Mytilus edulis: one gene and its partners. The main gene of each other region encodes a partner of the protein of the gene in region 2 in a complex. Links are inferred from orthologs where the notes say so. Each region holds a gene or a part of one and is shown on either strand. Other genes may lie near its edges. The genes, in order: RNA-binding motif protein, X-linked 2-like; SNW domain-containing protein 1-like; pleiotropic regulator 1-like; E3 ubiquitin-protein ligase RNF113A-like.

What was found.
Region 1: SNW domain-containing protein 1-like (region 2) and RNA-binding motif protein, X-linked 2-like share a complex: the UniProt entries of both Homo sapiens proteins name them as parts of the minor spliceosome. The link is inferred for Mytilus edulis from reciprocal best matches to the Homo sapiens genes SNW1 and RBMX2.
Region 3: SNW domain-containing protein 1-like (region 2) and pleiotropic regulator 1-like share a complex: the UniProt entries of both Homo sapiens proteins name them as parts of the minor spliceosome. The link is inferred for Mytilus edulis from reciprocal best matches to the Homo sapiens genes SNW1 and PLRG1.
Region 4: SNW domain-containing protein 1-like (region 2) and E3 ubiquitin-protein ligase RNF113A-like share a complex: the UniProt entries of both Homo sapiens proteins name them as parts of the minor spliceosome. The link is inferred for Mytilus edulis from reciprocal best matches to the Homo sapiens genes SNW1 and RNF113A.

Annotation. Positions count from the first base shown.
Region 1 is NC_092346.1:77,143,109-77,150,818, forward strand, and holds the start of RNA-binding motif protein, X-linked 2-like, read right to left. Parts: upstream 3,002-7,710; 5' UTR 2,876-3,001; coding exon 2,862-2,875; intron 1-2,861. Other genes in the region: oxaloacetate tautomerase FAHD1, mitochondrial-like, read left to right, coding at 4,352-4,419, 6,935-7,031. UniProt on the Homo sapiens protein: Involved in pre-mRNA splicing as component of the activated spliceosome. As a component of the minor spliceosome, involved in the splicing of U12-type introns in pre-mRNAs.
Region 2 is NC_092346.1:18,106,709-18,113,738, forward strand, and holds the start of SNW domain-containing protein 1-like, read right to left. Parts: upstream 3,001-7,030; 5' UTR 2,917-3,000; coding exon 2,897-2,916; intron 445-2,896; coding exon 375-444; intron 1-374. Other genes in the region: aarF domain-containing protein kinase 1-like, read left to right, coding at 5,563-5,703. UniProt on the Homo sapiens protein: Involved in pre-mRNA splicing as component of the spliceosome. As a component of the minor spliceosome, involved in the splicing of U12-type introns in pre-mRNAs.
Region 3 is NC_092351.1:69,143,405-69,151,275, reverse strand, and holds the start of pleiotropic regulator 1-like, read right to left. Parts: upstream 3,007-7,871; 5' UTR 2,883-3,006; coding exon 2,874-2,882; intron 1-2,873. Other genes in the region: uncharacterized protein, read left to right, coding at 4,408-7,871. UniProt on the Homo sapiens protein: Involved in pre-mRNA splicing as component of the spliceosome. Component of the PRP19-CDC5L complex that forms an integral part of the spliceosome and is required for activating pre-mRNA splicing.
Region 4 is NC_092345.1:33,823,221-33,830,448, reverse strand, and holds the start of E3 ubiquitin-protein ligase RNF113A-like, read right to left. Parts: upstream 3,011-7,228; 5' UTR 2,956-3,010; coding exon 2,859-2,955; intron 1-2,858. Other genes in the region: D-ribitol-5-phosphate cytidylyltransferase-like, read left to right, coding at 4,399-4,532, 5,111-5,271. UniProt on the Homo sapiens protein: Required for pre-mRNA splicing as component of the spliceosome. As a component of the minor spliceosome, involved in the splicing of U12-type introns in pre-mRNAs. E3 ubiquitin-protein ligase that catalyzes the transfer of ubiquitin onto target proteins.

The DNA of each region.
Region 1 (7,710 bases), about 59 Mb from region 2:
CTTAACTCTTTTTTTGTAATCATCTATATACATGTAAGAAGTACCTATAAATCACTAGACTATTTTTTTTTTTTAATGTTACTGTAGCTTTAAATACAAATGTATATATTGATCTTGGGACATTATTCGAACTAACATCTGTGTTTATATAGAAGACAGGTAATGATAATCTGGTACTGAATCTTGAATAATTACAAAAAAAATCACTTGTTAAAGTATATTATAACTTTATTTCTTAAATTATATCACTCTTTTAAGTTGTTTTTTTTTCCAAATGCACCACATTATTTCTCAAATTTTGGACTTGGAAATATATCATCATTATTTAAAGCCTTCATTATACTATAGCATTTTTTTTATTCAGCAAATCAAGAATTTACAGATGAATATTGTATCTTAGCAGCAAAAGGTGTTTTTTTTTCAATTTTACTAATATAATGAAACTATCTTAACATCTAAACTACATTTGTATATTTGAAATTTTGATAAACTCTAAATCACAGAATTTCTTATCTGCTAATTAATTCCCCAGTCTGTTTACACCAGTCTGTTTACACCACAAAATTTACTTGGAGTATAGGCCAATTTGTTCACCTGGAAATGGTTAAAAATTATAAATGCATGGTTAAAATTCAAAACTATATTTCATTTAAAATTACTAAAGGGAGATAATTTCTTTACCTCTATTGGGCTTTAACTTGTCTTAGCTATAGCTGATGCTTACAAACAGATAATTATCTTATATTTAGAGTCCGACTTATATTGTGAGTATTGAATGAATTTGACATACTGTGAAATCATTACTTTTCATGGGGTTTAAATTTCGTAGTTTTGTGCATATATACAAGATTTCATTGGGATTTAACTTTTCATGGTTTCCAAGAAAATCGAAGTGATATTATATGTAGGTTAAATTTTCGTGGGGGATTTAGTTTTGTTGATATATTCTTTCCACGAAACAAACGAAGTTAAATCCTTCACGAAAATGTCTGCTTTTGCAGTATACATGTATGTTTGCCACTAGGATTGCATTAATATCAATTTAATATACATGTATATATATATAAATTTGAAAATATGTCTTATTTTGTCAACCTTAAGGTTAAAATGGGAGTCCTTCTTATGTTTTTTACATTCTGATATTGAATGATTTATTGTTTTCTGTTCCTATCGGTGTCAAGACTATAACAAGTTCAGATTCTGTTGATGTTACTAATGTACATTACAGTGATTACTGACATATAACCTGATCATGAATCCGCTTTCAAGACTTTTTAAAGAAAAAGTGTAAGACATTTTTCAATTAAAAGTTTTGGCTGTTGGCAAAAAGACCTTTGAAAAGAACCCATCTATACATATTCAAAATTCGAACCTCACATGTGAAAAAACAGTAAAATTATTAGGCATTGAAATAGACTACCAGCTAAATTTTGATGTTCATGTCAGCTCAATCTGTAGGAAGGCATCACAGCAATTAAATGTTTTAAAACGTTTAGGCTCATTTTTGGATAGACTTAGTAAACTTACTATATTTCATACTTTTATTCTTAGTAATTTTAATTTTTGCCCTTTGGCATGGCATTTTTGCACTGAGAAAAATTCCAAAAAACTAGAAAAGGTGCAGGAAAGAGCACTCCGTTTTGTTTATGAGGATTTTACCAGCTCCTACGAGGACCTCTTACTTAAAGCTAAGGTGCCTTCCTTGCAGATCAGACGGATAAGAACAATGGCTCTAGAAACTTTTAAAATTATAAACAACATCGCTCCTGTGTGCTTACAAAATTTGGTGAATGTCAAAAAATCTAAATATTCTTTCAGGTATGTAAATATTCTTGAAATTCCACAGGTAAAGTCAACCCGTTACGGTAAAAAATCGTTCAAATTTGCTGCTGCTACTTTATGGAACAGTCTTCCAAACCATTTCAGGACTGAAAACAGTTTTTCACATTTTAAAAGTCTTGTTCAGTCCTGGAACGGTTTGGAATGTCACTGTTCTGCTTGCAGATAATTCTTAAACTGTTTTATTATTTATGCTGCTTTTGGTTGCTCTGGTCAAGCATGTTTTTACTTCATTCTAAATTTGTTGATTATTTTTATTGCATGCTATGTATGTGAGATTCAACTTTGTATTACAGGTTGTTTTATATGTCAAAATGCACTGTTTTTATGTTATTTATATGTTTTTATATTCGGTCAAAAGCTCCTTAGAGCTTGTGTTGCTTATTTGTACTCATGCCGAATCAAAATAAAGTTTTCTTATCTTATCTTATCTTAAAAGGATTAATGGAAAAACCTGCCAGATTTAACAGTGAGAGCAAACACTTTAATAACTTAATAAATAAAAGTGAAATTCAAAATGCCGAAATCGATGGGTCACTGTGAAAACTGTCTACTAATGAGAAAATAAAGGTTGGCAGGTAAGTGAAACTTACATAAATGAAGAGATAATTTATGAAAAATGAACAGATTGATGCCCGATTTATATAATTCCAAGGCCGTCAGTCGGCAGCAGAAGCGACGAAGCAGCGCATCTATTTTGGGTGGGCAAATATCCACTTTTTGATATAAGACGAGCTCTGACGTCCCACGGCCCCAGCTTGTCTGGCAAAACAGCCGTTGGACGTCAGAGTAATCTCGGACTAATTTACGATATAACAAGTTTTAGCGGGGTTGACAGCCTATAAAGCGGCATATAACGGTACTTCGTCACCACCTGACATTTTTCTAAAATGCAAGTTAAGTACTTTGTGTTATAATAAGGTATATAGGAAATTTTTTCTGAGACAAGTGCCTGTGATCAGGTAATTTTTGTGAAAAATAAAAATCGTGTTCCATTCATATAATTTAAGCAGAATATTTACGTGAGAGGATTCATGTCCTATTGCTAACTAATCAATATATCTTTCCAATGTCACGTAGAGTTGCTAAAACTGATCAAACAGCAAGACAACGAAACCAGAAAAACATTTTGCTTTTTATACCTTTTTCAGCCCTTCTTAAAGAAGAGTTTCAGCTTGTCATTTTCGCCCCAAAATACATTCGCCACAAATGATATATCATCATGTCATCTAACTAATACTCAACCTTTATAAATGACAAGTTTTGCTGGTTTTTACTTTTGTTGTGCATTATTCAGCTTTTTTTGTTGAATTCAAGAAAGGGAAGATGAAGGTAAAACTTTTTATTTTGCCCTCAGATTTAAAACCATCGTGTAAATCAAAGTTTGGCCCCGAAAACTACTCGCCCCAACTTCGTCTCATCATCAAACAAATACTTACTTGGTATAAATAGAGACATATTATACATGTCTCTGCTATAACATTATAAAGTATTCATATTTTACCGTTCCCATCTATGGCCCGGTTTTTATATTTTAAGTCAGTATATTTTTTTTTTTCTTATTTATGTATAGTACGTAATTTACTTTTCTTTACTTTTCTTTCATAGCAGAAAACATATCGTTTTCCCAAATTTTGTTATATTTCTATCCGACTGACTTTAAAAAGAAAGTTTTCAAATGAGGCTATATTTAATTTTAATAACAATTTTTCCCCAGTAAAACTAATAACATAATTGAATCGACCTAGTAAACATTGTACGTAAGGAGACTATCTGCACAATTTGTATTTTTATCAATTAAATGATTGCCAAGAAGATCTAACAAGGACAACGATTCATCTAATGGTGGAATATACTTCATAATAACTAAAAGAGACACTCATCTAGTAGTGGAATATACAGCTCGCACTCCATAATAACTAAAAGAGACACTCATCTAGTAGTGGAATATACAGCTCGCACTCCATAATAACTAAAAGAGACACTCATCTAGCAGTGGAATATACAGCTCGCACTCCACACTAGCTTAAAAGAGATATTCATCTAGTATAGTGGAATATAAATCCCACATTTCACATTAGATAAAAATAGACATTTTATCTAGCGGCAGAATAAACAGTTAACTCTGTGCATTAGCTGAAAAGAGACACGGAGAAACCATTATTAAAATGTTCTGACAGCTCTATTTTAAGGTCTACTTATGACTTTAGATGGTAATGATAATAAGCATAATAACACGGACGACATACCAAGAAGACTTAGCTAGTAACCCCAAAGTATTTAGAGAAATCAGACCATTATTATTTTTACTATAACTACACAAGTTATACTGAAATCGTGATTGAAGATATCAACGGACAAACGGTGCTTTTAAGCAAACAAAAGTATTTAAGATGAGATAACAGAATCAAAGTTTACATTGATAATACGTATAATTTATAGTTGATTTGAGAAAGGTATAAAGCACAAATTTACGAGTTCATATATATATGTATGTTAGTTGGCCTTCGAAATGGCTGAAAGATTGAAACAATTTAGAGAAATTGGGAAGAAAATAGTCGCAGTCTGCCGAAACTACAAGTTAGTATTACCTTCTACTCTATAAAATCATAAGTATACGTTTGTCAGTTATTTGATGTACCCACTCCACAGATGAGACAAAGGACCATAAAGGTTATCAAATTTCTCATATTTGGTCAATTTTATTCTGATGCAAAAATGATTTTTTTTATATGTTTTATTCATTTAAAATAATTGAACAAAATCAGATGAACAAATATCAGGTAGCTAACCTTTTTAGACCACATCAGAGATCGATTGAAGGAATTGTAAAAGAAAAAACACCTGCAGATAGCAAGATTTTGCGTATCTGTTTTATCGACACAAACAGATATGATAGTCCAGGACTTTGCAAAGGCATTTGATAAAGTCAGCCATCCACGCATGCTACACAAGCTCAGACACTATGGGATAAGAGGGAAAATCACAAATGGATCACAGCATTTTTAGACAACAGAACACAGGCAGTTGTACTGGAAAATAAGTATTCAGACAAAGTGGGAGTAACATCTTGAGTATCCCAAGGCAGTGTACTTGGACCTGTCCTTTTCCTTATCTTCATCAATGACATCACTGATGATATACAGTCAACAATTCGTCTGTTTGTTGATGATTGCGCCATCTACCGGCAAATTATAACTACCAAAGATCAAGCCATCCTTCAAAAAGAGATGACTACCTTGACGAAACGGGAACAGAAATGGAAAATGGAATTTAATGTCAGCAAATGCAACGTGATGCACCTAACAAGATCTAAAACCCCCCCATAAAAGAACCCTATTACATGCATCATGGGAAACAACTAGAAGCAGTCACAGACACGAAATACTTGGGAATTACCATCAAAAATTACCTTAGCTGGAACCTACACATACACAACATTGTAGCCAGTGCAAACCAAGCACAAGGGATGCTTAGCAGAAACATCAAAAAAGCTCCACAACAAACAAAAACCAATGCTGTCAACGCACTTATAAGACCAATGGAGTATAGCGCAGCCATATGGGATCCCTATACGCAAGAAAATATTGACAAAATAGAGCGGCTCGCTATATTTTCAACGACTACAGTAACCAATCGAGTGTCACAAGCATGATAAGCAAGCTTAACTTGATACCTCTCTACCAACGAAGAGTAAACATCAGATTATGCATATTTTACAAAATTGTAAATGAGCTAGTAGCAGTTCCAACAGATACTTACCTCATCCCACTAAATAGAACATCAAGACACTACAATACCATGACATACACCATCTTCAACCCAAGACATGATTACTACAAATTCTCATTCTTTCCAAGAAAGGTAATAGCCTGGAATAAATTACCGGAATCGAAAGTGATCGAAGCTTTCAAGATACTGGTTACCGAGATGATGGAATGTTTTTTTTATCCTGCACCAACTGTACAGCATGCACCATATTTTCTTTTTTGATCCTTGATCTTTTATTGTAAATAGACATCTACGTAACGCACAAGTAATGAGTACTCGTTATTGAGTTTAACTACTATATCTAAGAAGAAGAAGGTATTTAAAGCGGAAAGGGGTAAATATCGCTTTGAAACTTAACTTACATATGTATATATATATATATATATATATAGAGAGAGAGAGAGAGAGAGAGAGAGAGAGAGAGAGAGAGAGAGAGAGAGAGAGAGAGAGAGAGTCTATAAGAATCTACCAACCAGTAAACTTAATAGGTATTGGATCATCAAAATTGACAATACTACACAAACAGGAAAAATTATATGAGTCTCGCACAAAGATGGAAAAACTGAACAGATGATATAAATTATACAATAATTGCAAATATTTCGGCTCAACAAATGGCCTTCTTCGGTGCAAAAGTTTTAACAATACTGATATATAATGTATAAGGTGTAAAGATAGATGTATATATATACAACTCGTCTAAACATCAACCCAACAATGTTAGATCTGTAAATTTGCTTTCGCAAATTTTTGGTTCTTCCCTCGCCGGGATTCGAACCCATGCTACTGTGATATCGTGACACCAAATCGCCTGCACTGCAGCCGTCCCGCTAGACCACACGACCACCTGGGCTCTCAAAAAAAAAAGCTTTCGCTGGCCGTTTGTTACCTTTCCTCGTCAGTTTTAATCTAGCGGCGTACTACAGTACATGATATAGAAGGCATGAAGATGTTATTGTTACAGATCAGCTAAATTATCTATTGTAAAGGATCCTACAAATTAATGTAATATACAGTCACAGAAAATAATTATATTTATAAGTACGTCTGAGTCAGTGACAACTCTACAACAGATGTATCCATCGGATCGCCATCAATGATGGTGATACATGGCTGTGTACATAATGTATATACAACATATATATTTTAGAGATTGATGTCTATATTAAGATTATCAGAACCACCAAGACTCACCAGTAAACTCTTTATTGGACTAATTCTGTTTTAGAGTTTTAGAGTATTTTAATGTTAAAAGTTTAATGAAATACATTCACTCTTTTGCGACTTATCTTGTATACAATCTTTATTAAGTTTGATTTTACAGAGGTCTTACTGCTGCTCAAGGCATACCCAATCCGAAGACGCCAAGCCTGTTTGCAAAGCCAACAACTGCATACATCACCGAAGGACAATCTATTCGTGTATGTTACTCTTTTAAAACTTACTGCAGTACCAATTTCACGGTGGGTAAAGTTGTCCTGCGAGAAAACGGTCTGTGCTGTTATTTCGGTCCTGACCGGTGCTTGTGATCATGCATCGAAAATATGTAAACAAAGACGAATATTATGATTTTTGACGTTTTTTTCTCATAAAGAATGGAAGGAAACAGTTGAGATTTTTTTATTTTTTTATTTTTTTTTATGGGTTCAAGGCAACCATTAGAAATGTGACCATTCAAGCTGTTTCAGTGAGCGTAATACAAACATACTAATTTTCAGAAAATCTAGAAATGAAAAAATAAAACAAAAATGCTCCTGGAGTCCGCCATTTATATCCAAATCCACACGACAAAATTATTTTGTGAAAACCCCTTGTAATTTATTAAAATTTTGCATTTTCTCTCTTTATTCATGTCATGATATTGTGCTGGTGGGTCCTGTCATTGTGCTAGTGGGTCCTGATACGATGCTGGTGATTTTGGATAAAAAGTTGGTCATATTTGAAACAAATGTTACAAAATCAATAAAATTGGATAGATAATTGTATTCAATCGGATCTGTGACTCATATTTTTACTTTTGTGCACCCATTTGACTGTTTAATAAGCATTTTCAAATAATCGTAACTTATTACATAAAGGCCAACATATTCCGTCCATTAT
Region 2 (7,030 bases):
TTCCAATTATAAATATTATAAAAAATAAAAATAGTTTACACGACGACTGTAAACAGATAAGGGTAAACAACGCAAATGGTTGCCAATAAAAGGGTGGAGAACTCATGGTTTTGGAATATAATGGGTTTTCCTTTGAATTAATTGGGTTATTGAACCCTGCAATGGGCAATTGCATTGGGTTTTTTATTATTTGTATTGCGTGATCACGCAAATACGCAGCTTATCTGGAGCTCTGACTGTTTCAAATTTCATTTGAATAAAATATATAAGAAACTCAGAAGGCACAGTCAAATCAATATTTCATTTACAACTTATCTAACAATATAAGCCATGTGAATCTGATTTTCTATGATGAATGTGTTCCTTGTTTGTACCTGCATTTGTTGTCTAAATGACCTATCTTCATCTTCTCTGTCATATCTTTGCACCGGTGAAGGCAATATACTGAAATGAAAATAAGTTTAAATAAAGATGTTCTTTTACTGTTAGGCCACACTTAAAAAATATTTTGGTTTGCCCAAACCCTACCTAAAGGTAAAAACAGTAGGAAGTTGGTAGGAAGGCATTTTCTTTTCTTATTTTTGGCAAAGAGAAATTGAAGTGTCAGATGTCTTTTACTCTTCATGCATATCAGAATGTTCAGTAAAAGATTTTGAGTATGCAGATATTTTCTGGGTAGGTAAGGTTAGGGCAAACAAACATTTTATTTTGTATGGCCTAATAGAAAGAAGCAACAATTGTAGGGAAAAGAGCACCCAATTATTTTTTTAAACACTTGAAAACAAATGAATTTAAACTTATATCCGTCAGGAAATCTGTTACATTCATTTTTATTTTTGTTTACATAAATAAAGCAGTTACATGTAGTTTTCTATTTGAATTGTTTTACATTTGTCATTTGAGAGCCGTTTCTAGCTAACTATGCAGTATGGGCTTTGCTCATTGTTGAAGGCTGTATGGTGACTGTAGTCAATTTCTGTGCTTTCTGTCTCTAAAGAATTGTCTTATTTGGAATCATACCACATCTTTTTTTTTTGACATAAATCATTTGAAGGCAAAATAACAGTGACTGTCATGACTGTCATACACAGTCACATGTATAACTGATTTGTGTATCAATCATAAATCTGAAATCAGTATATATACTAGGGCAATGATTCAATGACCAGCTTACAGTTGTATGCCACCTTACATTTGATAAATGGGTCAATTGAGATCAATGTGTCCCCTCACCTCCCAATGGGGGGGCTGCTGACTGACCTTAAAGGGAGTGCCTGCTGACTGACCTAAAGGGGGGCACTCCAGTCATGCTTCAGTGTTTCCCTATATAATCAACAAATTTTTTCCCATGAAAAGGGGGGCAGGCTGCCCATGCCCCAATTTTTAAATTTTTTTCTTGTATGAATCGAGGATATGCAAGGTTTTATTTGCCCTTGAAATCCCGGCAATTTTTATTGTAAAATCATGCAGTAGAAGGAAAATTGGAGGACAATAAAAACAAATATTTTGACAAATATGCAAATGGCGTAAATTGGAAAACGAAGCTGTAAATATGGATATATTTCAGCATTTCTATGGTGAAACTGACAACGAGGATTAGTTAAAAGGTTTCTTGTTATCTCAATGTGTTTATTACAATAAATTTGTGTAGGAAATATGAATTGATCGATCATTACGAGACGTAGAAAAAGGGGGGAAAACGGAGGTTGACTGAAAATTTTGAGGACGGAGCCACTGATTTGTGCCACGATTACATAATACCTTGTGTATGGTGCAATACGCTACGGAATCGAGCAATTGGTGTCTTCTTTATTATATGGCAGATAAAACAACAAAATAGATGAAGACGAAATTAGTTTTTTATTCAAAATTCAACACAAATGTAATAAATTACACCTTTTACCTGGTAATTACCTGAAAATGCAGGTAACCTGATAAAAATTTTACTGAAATAACTGCCTAACATTACAGTTCATACTCTCCTGAGCATTTTTCATACAATAACTTTCTCTGTATCTCTTATAATAAAAAAGATACAGCAGTCTGAAAAGAAATATACTGTTCTAATGAATGAACACAAGTCACAAAAAAATGCAGCAGCAGCAGCCATTTTTCTATTTCTTTGTGTAGCGTTGAAAGGGTTAATCAACTGAGCTGGGGAATCGATTCTTTGGCTCAGTGGGTTAATGGATCAAATTTCCAATATTCAAAAAACTATTCCTTTATTCTAATACACCTTATCGCCATTTGTCCGCCATTACTGGATATCACACAGGTTACCGTAAAATTTTGACGTCATAAAGCAAAATATCTGACGCCACAATGGAAAAGTGATTGTTGTTGACATCAAAAGTTCAAGCGGCCGGGTCAGCCGGGATAAGCAATAAGGTGTATTATTATTCTGAATCTGATGACATTAAATTATAAAACCCAAGGTGGGTACACGTAGCCTAGACATAAGACATAAAACTTTAATTAGAGTCGGTATAGATGCATTACAAGTACAACTGTACAAAAATAAACTCTGCAGAGCTTTTAAAACCGAAGAGCCTACGAAGACGAATAATTGGCTATGCGTCCCCCTTATGTATATGAGAAAAAAATAAAGTTATTAGCAAGTGTGGATTATATGAAATAAGCGCAATTTTGAAGGTAACAAAAAAAAAGGTTGTTAATTTTAAGAATACACATAAAATAAAGTACCGCTCATCACCCATTCAGACCCTCGTAATGTTCAAAGACCGGTTCTGTCGCGTGTTTTATTAGTTTGGAGCTGAGTAGGGCCTGAAAGTGCAGATTTTTACAAAATTTGGTTAACTTTTTATTTATTTGACATTTTGCGATAATTGTATTGACCATTATTAGATGTATATTGTAAAAACAATTTGGAACTTACTCCACAAGTTTCATCGCCATCTTGTTTGTCGATATTACGTATTTATTCCCTCCCTTTACCTTCTTTTCGAAAACAACGAAAAAGTCAGTCACTCATTCGGAATTCACTATGACTTTTCGTTCGTTGTGTGTAAATGATCATGAGGATTGAGGATTATGAAACAGACGATCTAGAACTAAGAAAGACAAGGGTATGGACACTGACGTTTATTTTGTCACTTCAAAATTTATATATCCCGAACCTGTATCATACTATAAATAGCAAGCTATTGGACCCAATTTCGAAGATATTTCAATGAGAAATTCAAGACAGTTCTTGAATCAGCTTCAGATTTGACCTTTGACTTTGTTATATTTTTATGTTCATTGATTCATTTGCATAGTGATCCATAGTCCAAATAATTATGACGTCTTGAAAGGCTATTATAATTTTTTTCTTTGACGCCTTAATTCGACAGGCTATTATAGTTTTTTTTCTTTGACGCCTTACGCTAGGGCGCTAGCCTTTCAAGGCTTCATAATTATTTGGACTGTCATTGGCATTGCATAAACAGTGGGTCTCATTGGGGTCTTAGCGTGAAGTGGGATTGCTGATTTTTTGTAAGCATGACACGTGTCAAATTATTGTGCCATGAAAACGGGAAATGAAATCTGGCGGTACATGGGAAATTCCAAAAAGTGAGAATTGCTTACGTACATAGTGTAAGCGGGATATGGGAATCTGACAAAACAGTAAGCGGGATCTGGGATCAGAATCCCCCATTGAGACCCCCTTAAAAGAGTCTTCATTTAGATGAAGAAAAAAAATCACTGTATTTTTTAACAAATAACATCAACACAATTTTAGGAATAAATGATTCAGTTTGTCAACAGATCAAAATATGAGTGAAAAAAATAGAACGACTGTATACATACATCTTATCGCTATTTATCTGCCATTAATGAATATCACACAGGTTCCCGTAAAATTTTGACGTCATAAAACAAAATATCTGACGCCACAATGGAAAAGTGATTGTTGTATGCGTCAAAAGTTCAAATGGCCGGGTCAGCCGGGATTAGTGATAAGGTGTATTGTCCTTTCACCTTGGTTTCTGTTCCCACTGAGAAGCTAGGCTCCAGGTCATTTTGAAATGAATTGCTTCGCCCTAGGTCATTTCGCACTAGACACTGCCAGAGTGGTTTTGAAAATATATTTACATACATGTATCAGATATCGACACGATTTTCGAAATAAATTAAGTGCAATTTTACCGTAAATTTACTGTTGCAATAACTATAGAATAACTAATCGAAGAATTCATATATAGAGAAAAATATTCAATGAGTGACCAATCAACACATTTTTGATTGGATGTGACTTACCTAAAAGATGCTTTTTGTATAATTTTCCATTTAAAATGGACTTTAATTTCTTGTGTTGAATAATTTATTTTATATTTTGGTTTTTTAAATACATTTCATATCCTTGACTTTTGATTAACATGTTTTAGTATGAAATCAGTTTGAAATCTGAGTTTGGACACTGAGTGACAGTTGAATCTGTTACCTAATTTGTGACAATGTGCTTTTAAACATCGAATTAATCAATAGCACTAATGACAGTTACCAGTTTCAATCATTAGATAGATATATGAAGATGTGATGTGAGTGCCAATGAGACAACTCTCAATCCAAATAACAATTTATAAAAGTAAACCATTAAAGGTCAATGTATGGCCTTCATTACAGAGCCTTGGCTCACACCGAACAACAAGCTATAAAGGGCCCCAAAATTACTAGTGTAAAACCATTCAAACAGTGAATTGCCTTGATTGTCTCAGTCTGCGTCGTTAGCCACTAGTCTGATGCCCCAGACTAGTAAATATTGATTCGGACTAGTGGAAATTTTCAAAATTTTATATAGTCATATAGGTACAAGTTTTCATATTTAGTTTCCGGACTAGTAGATGAAAAAGTTTTTGGCACAGACTGTATTAAATGTCTTGAACCATCCCATAAGTTGCAAATGACATTGTATATATAGAGATTTTTTAACTTTAGCTCATCTAAGACCTGTGCATTTGAGCAAAAAAAAAAATTATCATTTTGTTCATATGAAATATAATTATCTAATGCATCATAACAATAAGATGTGAAATGATAACTGACGAGACAACTATCCTAAACAAACCAAAAGACATAGATGTAAGCAACTATAGATCACTGTATGGCCTTCAACAATGAGCAAAACCCATAACATATAGCTATGTAGCTTAGAAAGTAGAAAAGTACTGACATAACAATGTAAAAACTATTCAAATGGGAACAGCCTAATTAAGGTACAAAACAATATTTCATTGAAAAAGAAAAAAAAAATATTAGTTTAAACATATTTATTTACATTTGGAAACAAGTTATTGCAACTTATATTAATCCCTTTCCACTTTGCAGGTGTGAGTGCAGCCTTGTAGTATGTACAATGAGTCTCTGAAATTATCTCTAGAATGGGGATTGAACCAGGAACCTTTGTGTTAGTATTCTGATGCGCTAACCACTACAACACAGCTCTCCTAAAAACTAATAACCAAATATGATAAACACCAACCAACTACAACATATACAACCACTGAATATCCACTAAAATACAATTTTGACTTGGGACTTATTTTTTTCAGATCGTGTAGAATGAGTAGACACCTCCTCAAGAAAACCTTGAAATATCTGACTGTTGGAGGACTAGGAACAGGGTCAGGCTATTTTCTGTATAAAAATGATTGGGAGGTTTCTACCATTGGAGTAGTAAGATTTGGACGTGCAGCTTTTACAGTAGGTATTTTAATCAAATATTGGTTAGAATTAAAATCACAGTTGTTTAATTAGGTCTTTCCACTTTTCTGTGGAAAGAACTATTGTATTTGTTCTGATTATTTATTTTTGTTCCAGCCAAATTTTGTTCTTGCGATAAATGTTTGTTTCGCAATATGTCGCTTAGATATTTCTCATATTGTATCGTATAGTTTATGTGCTTTTAAATTTCACCCTGCTAAACTGAACCATTTTCTTTGTAAGAGTTATCTCCCTATTCACTGTTTATCATCAGAGTGCATCTCCTTCGTAACAAAAAAAGATATTGACAAAATTTCTTTTACAAATTGTTCGTTACAGCCTCAGGAATTTTTAGCTAATTTGAATCGAAGCGATTCGATGAACTTTTATATGAGTTATCTACCTTTACGAAATAAATTTGTCGGTATGTGTTATTAACTTATAAACCATTTACCCTATAACCCTGGAAAGTTTTTATTTGAGGCCCCTACGTCCTTACTTAGAAAGGTCAAGGTCAAGTTCTCAATTGTGACTTTTCCTTGTTTTTGCATTTTCTCCAACACTTTAAAAGATATGAATAAAAGAACAAGTGCATAATGATTGCTTTATGGTAATGAAGATATGTTACATTTGGTCTGATACAATCTCATGGCATCTTATAAGAATTAGTGCCCCTGAAATGTCTAATTATAAGGTTAATTGATTATTACTTCAACTTGGTTCATTATAAAGCCAAATGACCTTTAACAAAAGGTTGGGTGACATATGACCTTGAAAATTGACAACCGGAAGTGACATTGAAAAAAACCGGAAGTAACCTTTTTTGCACTTTTTCATGAAAAATTACTCTGAATCCATATATTTTGTAATTTTGATACCTTTTCTTATCACTTAAAACTTAAACTGACTTTTGATAAGCGGGAAGTGGTCAATTATTCCTGGTTTACAAACAAAAGTATTAGAAACTATATATTTTTGGAATCAGTGTGAAAGAAGCTATCATATGAGACTGGAAGTGACATTTACTTCACCGGAAGTAGCACATTATCTCCCTTATTTCCCATCAAAGTATATAGAAAACCATTATTTATTCAATCAGTATGAAGAAACTTATGATTGGATGCCATTTTTAACTTTCAGTTAACAGGAACTACAAATGTACCGTACCTTCTTTTCAACAATTATTTCAAATTAATTTATTGTGGAAAGACCTTCAATTGTTCTCTGAACAATTGGTTTTTAATTTATATTATTTTGTATCATCAGAGCATATATTTTCATAAGCACTTAAGACTGTAAATTACCTAACAAAGATGAGAAATTGCCT
Region 3 (7,871 bases), on a different chromosome or scaffold from region 2:
TATCAAAGAACCCCATTTCTTCAATTTTTGATGAAATCAAACAAAGTTTAATTTTGGACCCCGATTTGGACCAACTTGAAAACTGGGCCAATAATCAAGAATCTAAGTACATTTTTAGATTCAGCATATCAAAGAACCTAACTGATTCATTCTTTGTCAAAATCAAACTAAGTTTAATTTTGGACCCTTTGGACCTTAATGTAGACCAATTTGAAAACGGGACCAAAGGTTAAGAATCTACATACACAGTCATGACAGTTAGATTCGGCATATCAAAGAACCCCAATTATTCAATTTTGATGAAATCAAACAAAGTTTAATTTTGGACCCTTTGGGCCCCTTATTCTGTTGGGACCAAAACTCCCAAAATCAATACCAACCTTCCTTTTATGGTCATAAACCTTGTGTTTAAATTTCATAGATTTCTATTTACTTATACAAGCGTTATGGTGCGAAAACCAAGAAAAATGCTTATTTGGGTCCCTTTTTGGCCCCTAATTCCTAAACTGTTGGGACCTAAACTCCCAAAATCAATACCAACCTTCCTTTTGTAGTCATTAACATTGTGTTTAAATTTCATTGATTTCTATTTACTTAAACTAAAGTTATTGTGCGAAAACCAAGAATAATGCTTATTTGGGCACTTTTTTGGCCCCTAATTCCTAAACTGTTGAAACCAAAACTCCCAAAATCAATCCCAACCGTTCTTTTGTGGTCATAAACCTTGTGTCAAAATTTCATAGATTTCTATTAACTTAAACTAAAGTTATAGTGCGAAAACCAAGAAAATGCTTATTTGGGCCCTTTTTGGCCCCTAATTCCTAAAATGTTGGGACCAAAACTCCCAAAATCAATGCCAACCTTCCTTTTGTGGTCATAAACCTTGTGTTAAAATTTCATAGATTTCCATTCACTTTTACTAAAGTTAGAGTGCGAAAACTAAAAGTATTCGGACGCAGGACGACGACGACGCCAACGTGATAGCAATATACGACGAAAAATTTTTCAAATTTTGCGGTCGTATAAAAATGTGTTTGTATCATTATTGGAGAATAACTTTATACTTGTAAGCTTAGTTTTTTGTATAACACTTAAAAGGAAACCTTTTTATCCTTTTTCATAAGTGGGGCGAGTTGGTTAACAAGAGTGGGGCGATTTTTTTAGAAAGTGGGGCAAGTTTGTGAAAAAGTGGGGCGATTTGTCATGGATTCTTTTCTACATACAGACAAAATTTCACTATGAAAATTTGTCATTCTCAGGACATTTTTCCATAGACGAGGACAATATTTCATAATACATAGTTATGAAATATTGTCTTGTGGTACAACATTTCATAGGACAATATTTTGATTTACACTTGCACATAAAACCGGTATCAGGATCGTTCGCCCTAATTACATGTTCGCCCTAGGTTCGTTCGCACTGAGTTTGTTCGCCCTGGGTTCGTTCGCCCTGGGTTCGTTCGCCCTATATTCATTCATGATATGTATATGTTACATTAATGAATGAAATATATATATATATATATAATAAAAACTATAACACAAATTCCCATATGTTTCGGCCATTACGGCCTTCTTCATTGGAATAAATTACAACATTCTATATATATATATATTGAAATTTATGTATATCTATTACAATGTAAAAGAAAATAACAGAATATTTGCCAAATTTATATTAATTAAATAAAATTCTTGGCTGCATTGTTACACTTTATTTTATAATTACTTTTAATTACTGTTGATTGCATTTTGATTGCTGATAAGGTATCATTTGAAATCTTTGATATCACTGATTGTTATTTGAATTGTCTTTGACATGTTTGATGGATTAATAATGAAAATAACATTTTTCTCAAATAAAATAGTCAGCTTGGATGGGTAAAAACACTGATGACAAGTGATCAATGTACAGCAGTGTGACTGTGTTTTTGGTATTTGTTTCACTAATAGTAATTCAAATAAGTGCTTTTAAATATTCGTTTAGGAAATAAAGGTGTGCGAAGTACAGTTCGGAATTGATCTTGTTATAACTGTTATTGAATATTTCCTAGTAACGTAATCATGGTAATAACATAGATACAAACTTACTTCTCAAGGCAATACCTTGAAGTCACAATATCTTGTAGTCCTGAAATATACAGAAACTTATAACCTAGTCCCAGTAGCAGCTAGCTATAAACAACATGATCATCGTAAATATTCGTCCAAATTGTAGACTGACCTCAACACATTCAATTATATACACACAACGCAACACTATACTATAAAAAAAAATCAGGGCGAACGGACTCAGGGCGAACGGACTCAGGGCGAACAGGTATTAGGGCAAACAGACACTAGGGCGAACCAGAATCAGGGCAGACGGACCCGGATTCCATAAAACCCCCATGGGCATTTTGAAAAGTTGGCAGGTATGATGTTACCTTTCCCATATCAGCATATTGTTTGGGTTTTGTTTTTAGTGTGTAATGTAACAGTGGAATATCAAAGTGCTAAAAGAGAGGATTTTTAAGAACTGGATTTTTTTTGTACCATTTTTAAAAATGCCATTGTTACCACAATAAGAATTGTCTGAATTACAGACAACACGGTATCTAGATCCTCAAGGTGTGTTCTTTGATTTGTGCTATTAAAATACCAGGTCTAAAGACATTTTTTTTTTCTTATTGCCAAAAATTATACTTTTTCAGATATTGTCTCATATGTATTGTTGGCCGTGTATTGTTTATTTAAAAAAAAAACCACAATACTGGTACGATACTGGAATACAAAATTTTAATACCAGTATTGCGATCACCAACTACAGGCGATCCTGGTGACGAACACTTATGGTCATTTACTGTATATAATATTTTCTATTTATATTACCTCTACCATGCTGATTTTTCTTAGATAGGTACACTAGAAAATAACCCAAAAAAAACGTTGTTTGCACGGCTTCTGTATAAGGGAGATAACTGTTGATTAATAAATAGTTGCCGGCAGCTGCAAGTCTAGTGGGGTTCATATCGATTAGAACCAAGAAAGAATAACATAATATGTTTCCTGAAAAATAAACATACATAACAACGTACCCTAAATTATAAATATATTTACTGTTAGCTGTTATTGTCTTATTCTTTGTTAGTTGTTATAGGACTATTATCTATTTTGTTATCTGTTATTGTGAGAATCTATTTGCTGTTAACTGTTATTGAAAATTCGAATGTTAGCATTTTGACAGCAAATCTTCCGTAGAAATTGAAGATAATTGAAAATTGTGATTTGAATGGATAATAGTCCCATTTGCACGCTTACCACATCTTCTTACAATGTATATCTATTGGGGTCTTTCTACTGGTAATATCGGGTGGCCCTGCAGTATTTGCAGAAGAATTTCAGTAAACATATTAAAATCAATTGGATCCAGGACCATTCCAGTATATATTATTATTATCCTTTGTAATAAATTCCGTTGTCTGTGAACATGTAGCATTTGGTACAAATTATAATTCACTTATTACTTGTACAATAACTTATAGTATGTATTTTGTTATAAAAAAAGCATTGGTACACCCTATAGATTTTTTTTATTCAATGACCACATAATAATCTTTATGCTGTACTATTACACCACTGTCCCTGATTAGGGGAGGATTGGACACCAACTAGCATGCTTAAGTTGACGCAGTCACATTCTGTATGTGCCTATTTCCAAGTCAGGAGTATTCTGGATCACATACGCAACTATATTTACTATAAAGTTTATTGGATTGAATTTTCAGACATTCATATTTTCCGGAAATAATCTGGACTTATCCGTATTTTCACTACCGTTTACTTTCTCTTCCTCACCTGTCTATTGCAAATGGATGCCACGACAAATCTGCTCCTGTGGATATTGTGACAAATCACCGTCAAGTACGTTTCAAATCGATTATAAACTGTTAAATATATATACCGTTAATTCCGTTAACTTGAATTCCACGTTTATTCAACAAATACGAACTGTAATTGTTTATTTCTATGAATTGACCTGAGAATTCTACTTTCGTTTTTGACTTGATATTATTACTGCATTGAACATTCATATATTTCTTTCGTACATATTGTAAATATTGTATTTTTATTTCTTTCAGTTTACCAAACAATACACGCTCTGTAAAAACTCCTGTGTCATTTCTGGTGGAATTATAATCTACAATCTTCAAACACAAGTTGTTATTCTTTATAATTTGCCGAGATTGCGATACAGTCCCATGGTTATACTAGCTGAGTCAGGCTCAGCATAGTAAATTGACGACAACCTGTCTTTACATATCCAGACAAGGAACGACAACCTAACAACGTTCATACCTTTACACTGACAGTGGACTACATAACTTGTGTGTACTAAGCAGCAACCCAACAACGTTGAGTCAACATGGATCCCAGTCATGTGGAACAACAAGAAGAGATACAGCCCCCAGAGGGAAATGTCCCAGATCTAGAACTATTACAAAATCCGTCTAATACCACACATTTAGATGAAAATCCCGAGACTAGGCGAGTACGGGATCTTACCGAAAAAGGTAAAGGAGCCTACACAGAAAAACGTAACAAGTTCTGTGAGGAACTAGAGGCCCTTTGGTCAGATATAACAACCCAGTTATTGGAAATCACCACACCTCCCAATGAACTTCAGCAAGTCTTAACAATTCAGGACAATCTTGTAAAAGCCTGTACAAACTATCGTAGGCTCACAGACGAATATCTGGACTTCCTAAAAAGGACCAGAACGTTGGACAGTCAAAAAGACATAGACGCATGTAACCTCACATTGGATCTTCGTCTGTCCAAAGTGGAACTGGCCATGGAATCTCTACACGAGCATCGCCTTGCCCTTACTAAGGCTAAATCAACTAAAACAAGGACCTCAGGCTCAAAGGGTAAGAAAACCTCACACAGCGGTAGCTCTAACGTGTCAGGCATGTCAAGTCTAGCACGGAGGAAGCGTGCCAAAGCAGAGGCCGCTAAATCAAAAATAGCCTTTGTTGAACAACATTCACTTATCCTACAACAAGAGGCAATGTTAGAGGAACAAGCCCTGTTCAGACAATCTGAAATGGAACAGGAAGCGGCACGCAAAAAGTCTGAGATGGACCAGGAAGCTGCACGCAAAAGAGCTATATTTGAACAAGAAGCAGCACACAAAAAGTCTGAGATGGACCAGGAAGCTGCACGCAAAAGAGCTATAATTGAACAGGAAGCCACACTTAAAAAGGCCGAAATGGAACAAGAAGCCGCACGTTCAAATGCTAAAATGGAACATGAGGCAGAACAAGAGGCCATACGCAGAAAAGCACAAATCAAACAAGAGGCTGCACGTGTAAGCCGTGAAAAGGTCGAGCTGAAGGCCAAGTTAAACCTTCTAGAAGCACGCAGAGAGGCTGCAGCCGCAGAAGCCGAGGCTCGTATTCTGGAATACGATGACAGTCAAGCGTTTAGCGATCTCCCTGACGAAAAGGAAGACCCGCTCCAGCGTGTGCAAGATTTTGTCAACAAACTTCCTGTATCAACAGCTGTAAAGGAAGTAACAGCACCTCAAAAGAAAAAGCAATTTCCTGTTAAAATTGAGCTGAGCCACGAAGCACCAGCGTTCGTGCCGTCCGCGGCACTGAACTTGCTGTCACAGACATCTGCTGTCTTACCTTCCGATACTAAGTCACCGGAAGTTACCTTTATCCCAGATCTGGGATTAGTAACCGGCATACAAAAATTAGGTCTTTCAGATGAGAGCCCTACTGAACATCAAAAACAGGGTGTTAAAGAAGCGATCCCTGTCTTACGCATAAAACAAGACTTTATAGAAGAGATCCCTGTTTCACACCAAAAACAAGGCATAGTAGAAGAGATCCCTGTTGCACACCAGCAACAAATCAACTTTACATCAGAGATAACTAGATTCCTTTTACGCAAGGACTTGCTTTTCTCCCGATTAACAAGCTTTAACGATCGGGCAGAGTCATTTCATACTTGGAAAGCAAGCTTCAAGAACGTGACTGATGAGTTACAAGTCTCTGACTCAGAACAGATCGATTTACTGATCAAGTGGCTCGGTCCAGAGTCTGCTAAACACGCCATTAGCATAAGAGCGTCGAACGCTAATAATCCTACCATAGGTATACAGAGATTATGGAAGAGGCTTGACGAGCGGTATGGTGCTCCAGAAATGTTGGAAGCCTCTCTCAAGAGTAAACTTGAAAAATTCCCTACCTTAACAAATAAGGACAACGCACGTCTCTACGAACTGTCTGACATTCTATCAGAAATAGAATATCACAAGGAAAATCCCAAGCTGGGATGTTTGCTAGCATATTTTGACTCCTCGTCCGGGATAAATCCTATTGTTGAAAAATTACCGTACGGACTCCAAGAAAAGTGGACCACAAGGGCTACAAGATACAAGGCTAAATATGACGTTGCCTTTCCACCTTTCACAGAATTCTCTGCCTACATCAGGGAAATCAGCAAAACAAAGAACGATCCTGGGTTCATCTTTGGGTCAAAAGCCACACCAAATACAAAAGGTGCTGCGCCAAGGTCTACGCCTTACCCTAGGACTAAAGTTGGTGCTCATAAAACAGCAGTTGAGCAGCAATCTAGAGACGCCAGCAAACAAGGTCTTTGTATTCTGCACAATACAAAGCATTCCTTAAATGAATGTCGAGCGTTCCGAGCCAAGTCAATAGAGGAGCGCAAAGGTCTTTTGAAAGAAAACAATGTATGTTACAAGTGTTGTGATTCTACCACACATAGAAGCCGGGATTGCAATGCAAGCATAAGTTGTAAAGAATGTGGAAGTAAACAACACACTACCGCACTTCACATCACTAGACCACAGCAACCTACAAGTTCGCAGTCTAGCTCGCCTAAGCAAGCCTACGGCGGGGAGCCTATAGAATCGGCTGAAACTAAGGCAACCTCAGTTAACTCTACCTGTACTGAGGTCTGCAAAGATACATATAGTGGGAAATCTTGTGCTAAAATACTTCCTGTGAATGTTTATCACAAAGATAACCAGTACAAAGTTATTCGCATGTACGCCATCATTGATGACCAAAGCAACCGGTCACTAGCATCGCCCGAATTCTTCAATCTTTTCGACGTCAAAGATAAACCGGAAAACTATACTTTATCAACATGCTCCGGCAAAGTAGTCACTTCCGGCAAAAGAGGAAGAGGTTTCGTCATGGAATCAATCAATGGTAATGACAAGTTTGACCTTCCTGTACTGATTGAATGTGATCATATTCCCAATAATAGGGACGAAATACCTACTCCTGAAGTAACAATGCATCACCCTCATTTAAAAGAACTTAGAGGTAGCATTCCACCAATAGAGGAAAATTGCCAAATTCTTCTCTTAATTGGCAGAGACCTTATAGAGGCACACCATGTCCTCGATCAGCGCATAGGACCACCCAGAACTCCATATGCACAACAATTGAAACTTGGTTGGGTAGTGATAGGAGAAACCTGCATTAACAAGCAGCATGTTCCTCTTGAGTTAAATGTCAAAATAACCAACATTTTGCCTACAGGACAACCTTCAACCTTTCAACCATGCACAAGCAAGTTTGACATCCGGGAAAACTACACAGACCCTGTAACGAAAGACCTACAATCGCCACTCTTTGAAAAAACAAGAGACGATGACAAGCCTGGACAGTCATATGAGGACAAAATGTTCATGAAGCAGATGGACAACGAATTTGTAAGAGACTCGGAAGGAAGTTGGGTAGCACCGTTGCCGTTCCGAGTGCCAAGACAGCCATTGCCAAGCAACAGACAACAAGCTCTTCATCGTGCTAATATGTTAGACATCAGTTTGAATAGAAACCCAGT
Region 4 (7,228 bases), on a different chromosome or scaffold from region 2:
AATTCTTTACAATTTGCAAATCTACAAGTACTTGAATACAATTGGTCTTTTAGCATTTCGACTGCCATTTTGATTTTTCCATAGACCATGTTACCAAAACTATTTTTATTTTGCATTTTGTCTTTTAGATATACATAAGTGTGTTGTACATGCATATGTATGTGATAAATATTTATGTTTTATATGTGCTTTGAGTGTTTCAAATGTGCTGTGTACTTTAGATGTGCATGATGAAAATGGCAATGCATGTTGTCTTATAGATGTGCTTCAAAAATTTTATTCTTGCTCTATACAATTGCTAAATTTGCTTTGTATGTGATACATCATCTTCGTTAGCCAAGGGTTATGATCCACTCCCTTTCTCTTCACCCTTGGTGGATTGAGATAAAATTTTGGAGACACAAGGTAAGGATTTTTATTGGTCATGTTGGTTGCAGTCGAAACTCGCTGCATCCAATCAAAAAGCACCTATAACATGATCACATGTAAATGAAGAAAGTGTTTGTAAACAAATGCCACGTGTTTATTGTGCAACAAGTCTTAACATTCTATAAACATACGACTATATTTAGTGACAACTTTAATGTTTTTGTTCAATTGGTAGAAGTTCCTGTGTATGTTTCATGCACAAATGCATGAATGTTGATGTATATTTTTGTTTCTGGCTTTATCAAGTGTGTAGAATCTAGACGCTACCATGTTTTTACCTCCAAATTGAAGAGTTCAAGTGCTACCATTAGTCAAGAATAATGTATTCGGAATGGGCGTGACTTTAATCTTCCGATAGATGGCGCAACATTGTTTTTACAAATGTTGGCTTAATCTGCCAAGTGCCAAGGGTGAAGAGAACATGGAGAAAGGGAGTGGATCGTAACCCTTAGCTAGCGAAGATGGTGATACATTGATATGTGTGAATTTAATATGCAATTTATGTGTTTTAAATGTGCATCATCCTCTGTAACATCAATAAATAAATAAATTATAAATATTACTGAATGATAAAAGCAGTGATATGTTTTTTTCCATCTGCTGGAACATTAATATATTTGTAAACCTAATGTTTTCTTTATTAAAAATTGCAGATAAGTCACATTGTCGACAATCATCAGAAACAGAAACATGATCAGATACATATATATAAACTCATCATAGATACATGTACCAGGACTAAATTTAGTATATATGCAGCTATACTTCATTTACTTACAGTTTCTTAAGAATTGTAAAAAAAATTAAAAAAGAACATACTAATGTAATGTTTATTGGTCGTTAAGGTTACAGTTGAGTAGAATCTTAGCTTAGAAATGCATGGTTTACGCTAGAAAAAGAGTTAGGCAGATTTAGATGTTTGGCGGGAAAATCAGTTGTCGGGTCGAAAGTTATAGGGGTGGTCGTAAGGGACTCTATGATTTCCTCTATGCTCCGTAAGGGTAACATTTAGAGAACACCCCTATCAAGTAAATAGTGGTATCGACCACAGGTATATAAGAGAGTGAGAAACAGCACTCGAGGCTGTCGGTTGGCTGTCGATGAGCTGTCATCCTTCAACTGAGCGTACTTCGGATATTTTAAGTGCTAGAAGGGCCTTGGTATTCAGAGTATACTTTGTACTGGGTACAAAGTGGAAGTACATGTTGACATAGCAGACTGTCCCACTGTCTGGTAGTGAAAGACTGTCCCACTCGGAGGACAACTTGTACCAGCCCGCACTGTCTGGTATTGACAGACTGTCCCACTCGGAGGACAGGCTGTACCAGCACACACTGTCTGATACAGACAGACTGTACCAGCCATACTGTCTTTTAGTGACACTGTGTCACATCGTCCCATCTTGAGGACAGGCTGTTTTATTGTATTATATTTGTATATATATATAATTGTCCGTTGTTACTTTATATCGGCAAAGAGTCCGTGTGTATATTTTAGTTCATTGTGCATAATATATAGATAGTTGTAGTTTTTAGTATTACCATATTGTTTGTGGACAATTGGATCCAAGTATTTACTGGAACGGACGTTTGAGATATAAACGCCTAGTTACACGTTACACTAACATTAGCATGATTAGTAATACACATATATTGATAAAAAATTAAACAATTAGTGAAGTAAGAATAAGTCTTCTTGTAGAATGTTAGGTCTTTTCTATACACGTCACGTATCTCCTTTCAGGTCAAGAATTTAGCATCAAATCTTTTTTTTTATTTCAAACATTTTATTTTTATATCATGTCATGCATGTGGATCTTTACCTTTAATAAAATTTGCAAAAACTTACTAGTCCGAATGAAATTTTACTAGTCTGGGGCATCAGACTAGTGGCTAACCGTGCAGACTGCAACACAAAAAAAACGTTGTCTCAATTTATTTTTGAGACAATGACAACAAATTGTACTTAAAGGAATACACTTGCCAAAACTTGAAACCATTAAGAATGTGCGCGAATGTGTAAGGTGCAGATGGACTTTTAGTGGTAACGTGTACGTAGGGTGTGGAAGTGAAATTTGCAAACAAGACTGGGCGCGAACGTGACTGGGCGCGAACAGACCTGGATTCCTCCTACACCCCCCCCCCTATATAGCCCCTGTGATTGTGCCACATTTATAGTATTAATAGTAATACGTGTTGCCATGCCTTATTAAAAATGTACCTCGGTCAACGCTTTTGAACCACATGGAATTTACAACAAGAAGCGTTCAATTTCATAATATCTGGTCTTGTTTATCATGTGATATACATGGACGTCTGAAAAACGTCAAAATAAAAAACCATACTTGTTTTGTTCAAAATGGCTGTCTGATCTCGAAATTAATTCATTTTCCTAACACAATGAGCACATATTAAAAATGTATGTTATACCATCAGATTCAGATGTTTTCCGTTTCCTAGTGGGCTGATTTTTCCTGCTTTTCTTAAAAAATACGCAGGATTTTTGTGATGATCCATCGTCCGACATTTTGGACTATTTTCCGACGCGTAAAAATAACGAACTCTGCGATTGGAATATAAATGAACGAAAACTTCAGTGTCCAATCAAATTACACGTTATAGATATTGCTTCTATTTTCCGCATAAACAACAACAAATACACGTGGTAAAAAAGGTAAAATTTGTATATTGAAAATCAAAGTATAAACAGGAGCAAATAGGGAGATATATTGTTCCAAGGCCTACTATATTTACCTTGGACAAATGCAAAAAGTTCCCAAAAATTCAAAACCTTGTAAAAGAATGTTTTAGTTTAGTTTAAACATGTATTTCATAGATTTATTTACAGGTGATAGAGAAGCAAGTTTTGCAACTTATATTAATCCTTTTCCACTTTTCCTGTGCGTGTGCTGCCTTGTACAAAATGTAGCAGCATTAGCCTGCTCTATTTCAAAATATGCAAGGGTGTCTTTAACTTGCAAGAGATGAACACGCCCGGTCAGCCATTTATCATCCCCTTTTGACAGACTATCCTCGTTTCCTCAAGACCATACTAGAAAATGATGCCAAGGGAGAGCCCTAAATAGATGTATTTACACTTGTATGCAAATTGTCCGCCATTACGTAAAATCACACAGGTTCCCGTAAACTTTGACATCATAATTCAAAATATTTGACGTCACAATTTAAAAGTGATTGTTGCTTGACGTCAGAAGGTGATTCGGAGTTGATCTAAGGTCATTCGGAGGCAAGATTCAGCTAAATACCAAAAGTGTAAATACGTTTATTCACAAGCGCTTGGGTATAGGATACAGATATTTTTTTGTTGTTGATTCAAATATTCAATTTTCTATATTTATAATACATATCTATCACTACTGTACATGTCTCATTTCTAATGACTTAAACGACTCAGAGAAAATACCTAATTTTACTATCTATACTAATTCAGTCCCTGAAATTTTCATCACGGAACAGGATTCAAACCAGGAACTTTTGTGTTAGCATGGTTAGTAGTCTGATGCACTATAACCACTACGGCAATGGCTCTCATCAAGAATGTTTTAAACATTGTTGTTTATATAAGCAGTAAACAGGTAAAGGAATTAAAATATCCCTAAATTTCCAAAGGCACTTGGGACAATACATTTTTTGCCGTCCCCCTTATTTACAAAATCGTTATTTTATTATAAAGTCTATTTAATAAAAACAAGAAATGAGAAACACTTATGAATTTCCACATCAATAACCACTGAACAACAGGAGTTAGTTTCACAAAAAAATTTACGACTAAGATGTATCCTAATTATACTGAATTGTTTACTACTTTCGATCAATCATAATCATAAGTTTTTTGTGTAACCGACTCCAGGTCCGGGACTTAGGACAGGTGCAAACAAATGCAGCACATTTGTAAAATATGTTTCAAACAGTTTTATGAGTTACATGTATATATTTTTCAGTTTCAAAAATGGATTTAGAAAATGTTTGTGTGGTTTTACCTGCCGGTGGATGTGGTGTAAGAATGGAAATGGACACACCTAAACAATATTGCAAAGTCCTAAACAGACCTCTTATACTCTACACAATACATAGTTTTCATAGGTAAATGTTTGTGCTATGTTAGAATGGAAATAAGTACACCAAAACAACACTGTAAATTACTAAACAGACCTCTATTACAATACACAGATTTCATAGATACAATGTATATGTAAAAATGGAAATGCATGGACATTCCAAATATTGTAAAAGATTTCTTATGTACTCAGATTTTCCCCAGCATGAATTTAGACAAACCGATGAATATTTGAATGGTTAATTAAAGTTAGGAATTTTGGCAAGCCATGAGGATTAGCATTGAAGAAGTTGAATATCTCCAAATTTTACCTTACAAACGCAAGCTATGAATTTGAAGCATTTTAAAATTCTTCAAGGTGAACATGCATACATGATCATAGGGGTGTAATCATACATTCATGGTCTCAAAAAAGTTTGTGGCCAATGGAAAGCCTTTTTTTTAAGAAGAAAACTAATGACAACGCTACACATGGCTACAGTTACATCCAATGATCTAAACCTTTCCATTTCTAGAATTTTTAATAAACTCTTAATCTAAAAAATTCTCTGTTTTCAATGAATTATGTGCTGTTTAAATTTCAGTCTTTTTTCCCAATTTTCAGACTAAGCTGGATAAAAATGATTGTCGTTGTGGTTGATGAGAGTTATCTGGAGTTCATGCAGAATTTACTAACAAAATATAAATTTACTAAAGTGAAGTTAGTTACTGGATCTCCAACAAGACACAGATCAATTTATAATGGTGTCAAAGCACTGGAAACAGGTACATTTTATGTTGCATAACTTGATTTTTTAAATGAATGTATGAATGAATCTGTTTTCTCCATGTTTATGAAGATTTTGCATACAAAAAAAAGCATTTAGAAAAAAAGTGCTTATTAACACAAAAAAACAAAATATCATACAATTTGAAATCAGTTGAGATATGTACACAATAACAGAGCACTTTATCATGTTTATGGGAAATATAAAAAAGAAGACAAATAGGAACAAGTTTTAATCAATCAACGTTTATTTAAAACTAAAAGTCACATAAGGGTCTTCAGTAACATTGAAAACTAGAGGCTCTAAAGAGCCTGTGTCGCTCACCTTGGTCTATGTGAATACTAAACAAAGGACACAGATGGATTCAAGACAAAATTGTGGTTTGGTGATGGTGATGTGTTTGTAGATATTACTTTACTGAACATTCTTGCTGCTTACAATTATCTCTATCTATAATGAACTTGACCCAGTAGTTACAGTGGAAAATGTTAGTAAAATTTTACAAATTTTGTGAAAATTGTTAAAAAAAAATGACTATATAAAGGGCAATAACTCCTTAGGGGTCAATTGACCATTTTGGTCATGTTGACTTCTTTTTAGGTCTTACTTTGCTGTACATTATTGCCGTTTACAGTTTATCTCTATCTATAATAATATTCAAGATAATAACCAAAAACAGCAAAATTTCCTTAAAATTACCATTTCAGGGGCAGCAACCCAACAACGGAATGTCCGATTCATCTGAAAATTTCAGGGCAGATAGATCTTGACGTGATGAACAATATTACCCCTGTTAGATTTGCTCTAAATGCTTTGGTTTTTGAGTTATAAGCCAAAAACTGCATTTTACCCCTATGTTCTATTTTTAGGCGTGGCGGCCATCTTGGTTAGTTGGCCGGGTCACCGGACACATTTTTTAAACTAGAAACCCCAATGATGATTGTGGCTAAGTCTGGATTAATTTGGCCCAGTAGTTTCAGAGGAGAAGATTTTTGTAAAAGATTACTAAGATTTACGAAAAATGGTTAAAAATTGACTATAAAGAGCAATAACTCCTAAATTGGTCAACTGACCATTTTGGTCATGTTGACTTTTTTGTAAATCTTACTTTGCTGAACATTATTGCTGTTTACAGTTTATCTCTATCTATAATAATATTCAAGATAATAACCAAAAACAGTAAAATTTCCTTAAAATTACCAATTCAGGGGCAGCAACCCAACAACAGGTTGTCCGATTCATCTGAAAATTTCAGGGCAGATAGATTTTGACCGGATTAACAATTTTATTCCATGTCAGATTTGCTCTAAATGCTTTGGTTTTTGAGTTATAAGCGAAAAACTGCATTTTACCCCCATGTTCTATTTTTAGCCATGGCGGCCATTTTGGTTGGTTGACCGGGTCACCAGACACATTTTTAAAACTAGATACCCCAATGATGATTGTGGCCATGTTTGGTTTAATTTGGCCCAGTAGTTTCAGAGGAGAAGATTTTTCTAAAAGATGACTAAGATTTACGAAAAATGGTTAAAAATTGACTATAAAGGCCAATAACTCCTAAAGTGGTCAACTGACCATTTTGATCATGTGGACTTATTTGTAGATCTTACTTTGTTGAACATTATTGCTGTTTACAGTTTATCTCTATCTATAATAATATTCAAGATAATAACCAAAAACAGCAAAATTTCCTTAAAATTACCATTTCAGGGGCAGCAACCCAACAACGAAATGTCCGATTCAACTGAAAATTTCAGGGCAGATAGATCTTGACCTGTTGAACAATATTACCCCATGTCAGATTTGCTCTAAATGCTTTGGTTTTTGAGTTATAAGCCAAAAACTGCATTTTACCCCTATGTTCTATTTTTAGCCATGGCGGCCATCTTGGTTGGTTGGCCGGGTCACCGGACACATTTTTTAAACTAGATACCCCAATGATGATTGTGGCCAAG